Drosophila melanogaster: one gene and its partner. The protein of the gene in region 1 interacts with the protein of each later gene in a pairwise test. Each region holds a gene or a part of one and is shown in the gene's direction. Other genes may lie near its edges. The genes, in order: MYPT-75D and DCX-EMAP.

Region 1 (5,294 bases):
GGACTGGAGCATTCCGATTGCAGCATTAATCAGAGAGTTCGTCGGCTGCGTGTGAATAGCACGCGACAGGTTGTGATCGAGACAGGGGATCAGCCGCTTTTCGAGGAAACTGAGGGGGAGGAAGAGGAGGCTGAATCCGAAGATGACGAGGAGGCGGACGCCATGCAACTATCGACCGTGAGCTTCAACTGCAGCTCTTCCAACTCAGATACTCCGCGCGGACATAAAAGACATCGCTCCGCACAACGCAAGAATCTCTCGCAGTCCTTTAGTGCCAATTTGGAGGAGGAGGCGGATCAGACACAAGGTGGTGCGGGCTCCATCCAGCCAGCAGAGCCACCATCGGTTGCGATGCCACAGCAAGGAGCCAGAATTCCGCTATATCGGGCGGACAGTGGCTTCAACGAGACTTCTAGCACGACCTTTGCCTTCTCGCAGGATCTCCCGCTGGATGTGTCCATGGCCTGCTGCTCCACCCCCTCCACCCGATCTTGACCTCTACCCTTCGCAGTTCTAGATGGTAGCAACTACATATGTTATTTTATAGGCAATCTATGCAATAACTCCTTTTCACAGCCAAAAGAAAGGAGGACTTGTTTTTCAACTGCAATGATCACCCACCGTTTATATATATTTTGTATGCGTAATTGTATGTTCTTATAGAAATCTGCCAAATAGTGAATTAAGTCGTGCGTTTATGTCATTTATAAACTTAACTCAATGCCTTTGTCTAGTTTAGGGTACTTAATAAAAGTCCATTCGATGCCATATTTAATGTAATCAAAAGTTCCGAAGTTGTGTTATTTTCTAGCTGCCTTAAAAACGAAATTACCATTAAATCAGAATTCACATTGGAGGCACATTGGAGAACTATTGTAAGTGGTCATGGACATGGAAGTTGGTTAGCTCAATTTTGACTCCACATTCTGTTTGCGTTGTCCTGTGTAAGATTGAAACATTCGGGTGAGGTAAGGGAAGAATTCACCATGAAGGGTAATAACTTAAAGAAGATACTTTAGGAGATTTCAAGAATTTTCCAATCTTTTCGAACTATGATGATAGGAACTCTTGAGAACGTCAGAGATGGTTCACATCCATATCAACTTGGACGTTTGAATTATTTCAAAAGAAATCGATGATCGGGGTAAGTGCACCCAAAACTGTTAGAAGAAGACTTATGTACATATGTATGACCGTGGTGTTATAAACTTGGCGAAACCCAGGGCGACTTCTAAGTTCATATCGAACTGCGCTGCAGGAGAATCTGTGGATGTCGCTTTAGTGAATGTTCCTGTTCTCCTGGTCAATTCAAAATTGATTTGAATACAACTGGAGATGCTGTTGCATATAAGTTCAATGCAATACATATTCTGGGCAATGCTAGTCCGTTGCGGGCAGTTCGATGTTTTAGAGCTTCAGTGCTGGGTCAATTCTATGAAAATTTTTTATTAAAGTTAATTAATAGTTAAATTTATCAGCATTACTTATCAGTAATCTATTTGGAAGCGGGTTGGGCTCCGTTGTCGAGTTTGCTCAATGAAATCTCGTTTTAATCAAATTTGTTCTTTAAAAATAATGTTTTCGGTTGCGGAAGGGGAGGTGGATTGTGGTGATCTGTCAGGACAAAGACGGGTACTAACTCTGCTGTATGTTTTTTCATAAAAGTCCTGCTATATAGATAGATTCTAGAAGCCCAAATCTTCCTTGTGCGAACTATCTTTTTAGACTATCTTAGATCACCTTCGTACAATTTAATATTAAATAAAAAAATAATAGCTACTTTCTATTTCGGCACTATGCTAGAAAAAATCTGTCCTTGTAAGCAATTACTTATTTTTATTATTTTTAAACAAGTCTGTCTGAAGAATATCGAATTTTCAAATCTACATTTTAATCGATATCTATTCGATATTCGAGACATATCTATCTCATTTCTGTGCAAAACTATCGCAACCTCAACAGCTGACGTTGGCGTACCGTTTAAAAAATTTAGTATATCGCCAAACATCAACGGTAACGCATGTGGCTTGCTCTCGGAAATATTTTTGAGTGTCTGAGTGCGCACGCGAGAAGAACTGTCGGCATTTGAGAAGCGATCAGCAGAAATGTAATTGTTTGTTTTGGGGATCGAATCGAGTGGCTGTTATACTGTCACATTTATGCTACTTTTCCAAGCTGCGGTCCTTTTTTCGCGTTGCTTGGGTCACGACAAATTATGGTAGCTCGCCAAACAAAGAAATCAATTTAACCGAAATGTTTCGTACGTACGATCAGCGGAGATTTCTGCACTAATTTTCACCTGTGGTGTTTGTGTGTGCGTGCGTGAGTTCTGTTATAAATAGCGAAAGAGAGGAGGAAAAAGCAGATCGCTTTTTGGGCCATAAAAATGCCGAAAGAAAGTGCGGAGCGGGATAAATAATAAAAAAAAAATATTTGTTTGTGGGCCAACAAAATAAATTAGAACAACTCGTAAATAAGTCGGGCGCCAGAGGAAACTCTGTAAAAATAAACGAAATGAAATAAAATAAAATTAAATTCGCAAACGCAGCCGCGCGGAAATGTGCAAATTGATGGAAAATTAAAAAGGCAAAAAGTAGCAAATCAAAAAAAGAAAAAGGAAAAATTGCAAAAAGAATTCCTGTTACAAGAAACCAGTTCCTAACTCCCCCACCCACCTCCTATCTTCTCCTTTTTTTCTGGCTGCATCCGTTTTGAGCGAAAGTTTCTACTCCACTGTGCGAAATGTGTGCAAACAAGTTGGCCAGCTGTTTGCCGAGCGGGGAGGATGGAGTGGCCAAGATGGGGAAATGCGGAAAAATCTAGCCAATTAATTGTGCCGTGAAAGTGTGCGCCAAGTCAATTTCTATAATAAATACAATTTTTTACAATTTGCAGTCGGTGCCTTTTGTGCGCTTCAATTCGACTCGATTCCGATTCGTTTCAACTCGATTGAAAGCAACTTTGCAATCGAAAAATAAAGCCAACTAACAAAAACGGAAAGTCTCGCCTTGCAATTGGACTTGAATGGCTCTAAAGGCCTTTTTTTCGCACCCGGACTCGAGGTAAGCCTGTTTAATTTTCATGCCGACTTCGCATTTTAAGGCAGGCGACAAATTATTTGGGTATCGTTTGCAACGACACGTTTCGTTAACTTGTATGCATGCGATTCGTTTTAGTGGTCACAAAAACATTACCAATATTTCAAGTAGAAACTTGAAAAAGTAAAAAATTGTTTAATTGATTTTTTTTTTCGATTATAATGGTGCTATTTTTGCTTGAATTTAGCTGATCGATGCCGTAAAACCTCTTCTCAGTTAAATTTTACACACTTGTAATTGTTAATTGGTTTAAAGAGTGCCAAATTGAAAATATACACGATTCTAAGAGTCTAAATGGAGTATTTTCTATTTAATATTGGGAATTTTATAATTGGGACTGACTGGAAATATTATTTGCAAGTAAGATATTTAATGATCTCAAACTTTCTGGATAGATCATAAACCGTACAGTGTTGCAAACTGCAAGTAACACTGGTGTATGAGTGCTTTCTGCACTAGTTAGAACGGGATAGGGCAATCAAGAGTGTAAACAACAGTTAAATGTTGTTTAACTCGAATCCGGCGACTGCTTTCGTCACATGTTTTGCGCCCGCAGTTCCACTCTTTTTCGCCCTTTGTCGACGAGTTTTGTGCCTTATCGCAACCCTTGTTCGTTTTTTTTTTTTTTTTGTATTCTTCTTGCCGTATTAAATGGCCGGTTCTGCTGCGGCTTTTGTATAACTTCCGCTATTGTTATTATTTTTTAGTTGTTCGTTGTTGGAAGAAGTGTAATTAAACAGTGGAGTGGTCACGGTGGCTGGGGAAGGGGCGCGGCGGAGGTAACCCTGCAGCAGCAAATGCAGCAGCCGCCGTCTCACGGGAGTTGCCACCTCGAAAACCGGTTACAAATCATTAAACTAAAATTCTGACTCGCCATCCCGCTCGCACCGTGCTGCCTCTCGCTCCCACCTGCACGCCTCACTGCACAGTGGCACATGCAAGTGCAACTTGTTGCAGCAACTGTTGCCGCCGCCGTCCGTGTTGCATGTTGCATGCTGCTGCGAGTGCACTTTCATTAGACAGACGAATTGAAAGATTTATGAATAGAAAGAAAGTGTGTGGTGGGGAACAGGTCTAAAACAAATCCATATTTTATCAATAAAATTAAGACCAACCGATTTCCGAGGCACTTATAAAGTGGGCTAATTAACAAAAATTTACTTGAGCAGGTTTTTCGGAAATCGTAAACAGTGCGGACTATATTATATTATACAGAGCAACAAAATGCACCTGTTGTGAAAAATATTTAAGTTATTTATAAATTTTATTAAGATATAGTAAATTCCTTATAAACATTTTAATTATTATATTACAGGGTATTACAGACTTTTGCAGAGCATCTCAACTTCTTTATCAGCATTTAGCTGAGCTTTCCCGTTTTTCCTGTTTCGGTTGCAAAAAAAAAAAAAAAAACTAATTCAATTTGTCTAATATTCAAAATCGAAAGAGGGAAAAACTCGTTTATCGGCATCCTTGTGACACACTGACATCTTTAGCTAATCTCGGGCCCTCCCCCTTTTCCTCCTCCGCCTCACCGCTCCCATCACACTTTGCTTAATTAATTCTGTTTTCGGTTTTGTGTGCCGCCACCTATCAAAGCACCCCATCCCCCCCCCCCCCTCGGTTCCCAATCGCCCCTCGCACAAACGATCGTTGCTGGCCCCGTCATTTGCATTGATTTGCAAATTTTTTATTGGCCGTTTCGACTCGAGCCTGACGTAATTTGTTAAACTTTGTTATTTACCTGGCTGACATCGATGGCCAACTAATCAGCGCCAGCTTTTGTTGGCTTTAATTTATGGTGTGTGGGCATTTCAAGCGCTTTAATCGTCAAGGATTCAGTCCCACACTCCCGTTCCTAATCTTTCGGTACTATTTTCCAGGTTTAATCATCTCATTCGGGGTCAGAGATTAAGTATATTTCTCGAAAAAGTTGTCCATAAAAGTGGTGAATGAATTAAACAATATCACTTCAAATCAAAGGAGAGATAAAAGTGACGATGCTTCAACTGGATTATATTTAAATTATACAAACTAGATTTAATGGGCTAAGACCATATTTATTTCAGCTTGATTAGCTTCTGTTGCTGTGCCATTTTATTAAGTCCTTATATTTATTCTACTTATTTCTTATTCAGCGTTTAAATTCCTTAATGTGGAGATCCTTTAACTGAGTATCCCTTACACTTGTTAACA
Region 2 (5,289 bases), 3.7 Mb from region 1:
TCGCGATTCGAGGAAAGGAGGTAGAAAGAGAAAGGCACTCTCTAAGAAAATTGGCTGCGTCGCCAAGGAAATTTAGAGTGGACAAAAGGCAGCAGTAGCAGCAGAAGGTAAAGCTGCGGGAAAACCAGCAGAACAGCCAGCAGGCAGCGCCGCTCGAAACACACTTCAAAAACACTTTGACCGGCAAAGTTGCCACACGGAATTTCTTCTTGTGCATCGGTAAATGCCAGAAAGTAAGCAAAACTTTCGCACTTTTGTTTTGGCCAACTTTCTTGCCAGCGCGAGAGATGTTTTAATAAACTCGCCTTCGAGTTCATTAAATTTGATTCAAGTAAATGGGTTTGTGCTATCCGATAAGTGAGTGTTTTTCCCGTTTTTCCCCGAAAAACCGATCCAAAAGTGGAGACAATTGCGGCTGATTGATAGGCAATTAGTGGAAGTGGATGCTGCTGATGTTGCAAGTGGAGAGGCACAACTGTTTGTGCATAAATAACCCAAAGCAACAACTGCCGGCCCAAGTGTCATTAACCTAATTGCCGCAAAAGAAGCCACCGCGCCACTTTTACCCCAACCGAAAAAATATACGGCCATAAATACGACGACCAAAAGGAAGAAGCAACGTGCAACGTGTTGCAATAAAAACAAATTTGCATAAAACAGGTAAATCCAAACCCAAGCCCGCCGCCACCCCACAAATAAAAAGGTGAAACCATAAAAAAAATCAAGTAAAAGGGCTCACCAGTGAAAATTCCAGCTCCCTTGGCCCACAAATATTTATTTTTTGTTGCAATTGTAAAATACACGAAATTCCAATGCAGTGAAAAGGACTTGGATCCCGGTTTGTGTGGAAGTGTGTGTGAATGGTTGTAGGTGAACTGTGTGTGAGTGTGAGTGCAGAGTGGTCAAAGACACAAGAGACCAATGCCACTTAAGCCAGGAGTCGTCGGCTTGTTCCCTGCCGTCTGCAATTTTTCGGTGCTTAACACTCGATGCACTGGGGAAAAATCAGGAAAAACAGCCAGAATGATTTTCCTTAAATCTAAAATCCTGTTTCTGGGGTATTCAGATGTTAAATATAACAAATTTGCAAAGTGATATTGCGGGTCCTTTTGTGCGAGTTTTTAGTTAGATATTAGTAATAATATATAGAATATATATATAAAGATACAACTAGAATTGTTTATGCATTTATTTTGGACACAATATAGTTCTTGAACCTAAACCCAAAATGGTTTAGAATTTTTTCATACGACTTCGAGTGTACCCTCATCGATGTGTGAGGTAGCCAAATGCAAGGCAAGGCAAGGCAGGGCAAATAATACGCGATATTTTCGGCCTCTCCAGCGGGAGAGGAGAGGAGTGGAGCCGCCTGAACTGTGAACCCTGAACCCAGAACCCAGAACCCTGTCCCTCGACCCCGCAGAAGTGTGAATGTTTGTAGTGCCCACGCCGAATGGTTGAGTGGGGCTCTTTGGTCTGTTTGCTGGGACAAAGGCAGTGGCAAGTGCTCGCCGGACAGCCCATTGAATCCTTTGGAGTCCTGTGAAGTGGGGGAGTCGAGCAGCAGGCAGGCTGAGAGGGCGGAACTCTGGAGAGCCCTGGGCAATGGGAGCATTGGACACATTGCATCGAGAGTTCGTGGCATATCGATTACGTAGAGGGTGAGGATATAGTTAACAGTTGATATTTCTAAGTGCAAGGCTTGAGTGGAACAAGGACCAGGACATATGTATGCTGTGTTTGAGGATTATGAATGAAGACATTACATGGGAATATATATTCGATAATTACAATCTATTGACATGTTAAAGGCTATCAGAGAACTGTGAAGATTTGGCATTGTTTCTCCACAGTTGGTACATGATAAACAATTTTGAATCACGAATATTATAACTGATAGATTCCTTAACAGAATTTACTTCCAACCTTTTATAGACCTCTTATATTAGGAGAGTGACGTTCGATGTTCGAACCGATGTTTTATAAAAAAATGTTTTTTTTTGGTTCCAAAAATATTATTTAAAATGACTTAAATTAAATCCTTAATCAAATTTCTAATCAAACATTTTCCACTTTAGCCAGGCCAGCAACGTAGTTCTTTGCTGGGCAACCAGCGACTGCGTGCTCGAAGAAAACCTCCAAGAAGTTGCCCCCCTTTTGGGAGCTCCAAGTTTTCCTTTGCGTCGACGCGACGCTGCCCTTAGCGATTCCGTTTGACCACAACAAACCGAGCACGCAAGTTGAGCCAATTCCTTAAGAGAAAGCTGACGTGACTGCTTTAGGAGCAGGACAAGCAACAGTACCAACACCAGGACAATGTCCAACGAAGAGAACGACGACTATATGGCCAGCTTGAGTCAGGCCCAGACCGGCGAGGATGAGGTCGATGGCGGTGGAGAGGCAGCTGGCAGTAACGACTCCGTTCTGGGCGGCCAAACAATGCCACAAATTAGTCCGAACGCACCGCTCGAGGGAAACGTTTCGCCGCCACCGACGCAGCCCCATTTGGATGATAATCTGCACAACGGGAACGGGAACGGGAACGGCATCCACAGCAGCAGCAGCAACATTAACAAGCACGGCAGCAACATCAACGGCAACAACGATAGCAACCGCAGCAGTCCTGCGAAGAGTCCCAAGCGCCCAGTGTCCTCCAGCTTCCGGATTCAGAACACCAGCCGGTACGATAATGATGAGGAGGACTTAGCAGCCAGCGAGCAGGTGGCTGGTGGAGATCGCCAGGTGCCGGATTATTGGCAGCAACGGAACGGTGCGACCACTGGTGCAACCAGTGGGCGGCAGAGTCGCGCCATTAGTCCCGGGTATCTGGACAACATGAGCGAGAACTCGGAGCAGCCGCCAGTGGTGCCGCTGGTGCGATCTAAATCCCGTCCAGAAATTTCAAGTGCAGCGGCATCGCGATATAATAATCTCTCCTATTGGAAGGCACGCCGTGTGGTGTTCTACCGGAATGGGGATCCATTCTTTCCGGGTGTGGAGCTGCGCTATCGTCCCGGACGGGATGTAACCTCACTGGACAATCTTCTCGATAAGATCTCGCCCAAGATGGACTTGCCACGGGGTGCTCGATATGTGTTCTCCATGGACGGAGATCGAAAATATCATCTCGATGAACTGGAGGATGGAGCCTTCTATGTCGTATCCTCGTTCAAGGCCTTCAAGGTTAGTACCAGATTATTTGCATGCATTTCTGCTTTCAGCTCAGCTAAGTTTTTCATTATTTTGAAGTTTAAGTGAGAGTTTTCACGTCAGGCGCAAAATCAATATAAATTTGAATATTTTGGTATAATTTTAGTTAGTGTGCCGGTTGTGTGTGTAAGTGTGCATAACATACATAAAACTATATACGAGGTTTTGGCGTTTTTTTGCGGTCAGCGCTGTGGAGTGAGAAAACTTGGTCACTTGGCCTAAAAATCAAAGGCGTCGCTTTCCTTTCGGCTTCTTTGTTTTGCTCCCTCTTCTTCGGAAAAGCGGGTCCTTGCGGGGGAAATGGGTGAAGTGAGCGGGTGGGTGGTTAGTTGTTCGGTGGGGCCACATTTTTGCATGCAAGCACTTTCGTTTTCTCTCGCTCTCATTCACATACACATTCGCATTCACTCACTCTCGCTGTTGTGGGAGTCTAGCCCTAGAAACAATGCCAACAATTAGCACGCCTTTTGGCCTGCCACGAGGGCAAGTTGGGAATTAGGTCTTAGCCTTTATGGTCGACTGAGAGTGGGCTAACTTGAGAGTTGGGACGGCTAAGAGAACAGTGGTTCTTAAGAGTAGCTCAGTTGAGCAAAAAAGGATAAGGACATTAACTCTTTAGGCCGAAATGGTCAGCTGGCAGTTTATCGATAAGTTCCATCAATATACTGAAAGCGGTGGATGGAATCGAATTAAAAGTAACAGATTTAACGATAACTTTTCATCCAAAAGTTCGAGGGAGAAAATTATTTCTTTTATTTACATAGTACATTAATTTCTTGATTCTATAAAACAAGTTAATTATATTAATGTAAAAAGACTTAAGTATAAGAAACAAGGGGATAAAGTCATAAAAACATTGTATGAAATTCGAAAAACCATTTCGTCACCCAAGGACATTTTTTTAGGCAACCCATTTGAAGGGTTGACTTTCGCATAAATTTCAATCAGATACTCGCCAAACAGTTGGCTTAAAAGTCTTCTCTTTTTACATCTGGCCGAGGCAGTTGGCCAAAAACAAAAAAAAATCCACACAAATCGCAGACATCATGCGGGTGCAGCAATCAAGCGTCCGCACATCCAACATGTTCCGGAACAACTATTGAAAAAGTTTCCACCTTCCGTTTGACAAACGTTGTGGGTGGCTGATGATGATAAGGCTGAGTGGGAGTGGCTTTGGGAGTTGGGGTGTTTTTGTGGGATTGGCTGGAGAGGCTGCGGCAAACCATAATCGCTAACGACCAAGTCAAAAGCCATCCCCGACTATGCGTCTAATGCAGTCGAAGCGTGAGCCAAAGTCAGGATGTGCCAGTGCCCAAGACAAAGAAAAAAGGCAGCCATTCCATCCCGCCAGGATACCCAAGACCCCACACCCGCCATCCACCAGGTTGGGGCTTCTCCTCCGGGCTCCACTACGGGACACCAAGTACCGACTGCGACTCCGGCCTCAACTTCAGCTGCAACTCGCTACGGCAAAGGCAATTGCGCCTGGCCCGCGGCTAGCAAACAAAAGCGCAGCATGGAGCATGCAGAGTGCACTTGCGAAAATACTTCAACCAAGGATATTTTTTTTTTCGGTCAAGATTGACAGAACTCATACATATATATTCGGATTTTTTGTTCTTGGTAGAACATGAGAGAAGTGTCGAAATATTTGAATTTTTTGTTTTTTCTTTTCCTCAAAGATCTTCGGCAACAGTTTAATCTTATTCTGAGCGTTTAATAAAATAGTGTCATTTCATTTTTTAACTACTGCGCTTGAAATATTGTATTTAAAGTACTGAGTATGTAACCTGATTTTGCAACATTAAAAAACTTTTGAAAAAATCACCGACATAAAATGATTGAACTGAGAGTTTGCGGTTTTCACCAAAAAATATGGTCAATAAAAACCCAAGGCCAAAATAAACCGCAATTCGCGGTTTTGTTCAATTTATTTCTGAAAATTGACTATTTATGAAGAATAACTATAACTTGATGTAGCTGTGGTCAAGAATGGTATACATTTAAAGTGAAAATATAAAAAAAATTCCATTATTGCTAATTTAAAATTTGAATGCGATTGGTAAAGAAACTTTAACC

What was found.
Region 2: the proteins of MYPT-75D (region 1) and DCX-EMAP interact in a two-hybrid assay, tested with the Drosophila melanogaster proteins (one large-scale study listed by BioGRID).

What each region holds. Positions count from the first base shown.
Region 1 is NT_037436.4:18,623,970-18,629,263, forward strand, and holds the start of MYPT-75D (myosin phosphatase targeting subunit 75D), read left to right. Parts: upstream 1-1,989; 5' UTR 1,990-2,107; exon of another isoform or gene 2,108-2,322; intron 2,323-2,895; 5' UTR 2,896-3,062; intron 3,063-5,294. Other genes in the region: bora (aurora borealis), read left to right, coding at 1-495.
Region 2 is NT_037436.4:14,901,798-14,907,086, forward strand, and holds the start of DCX-EMAP (Doublecortin-domain-containing echinoderm-microtubule-associated protein), read left to right. Parts: upstream 1-2,007; 5' UTR 2,008-2,439; coding exon 2,440-3,183; intron 3,184-5,289.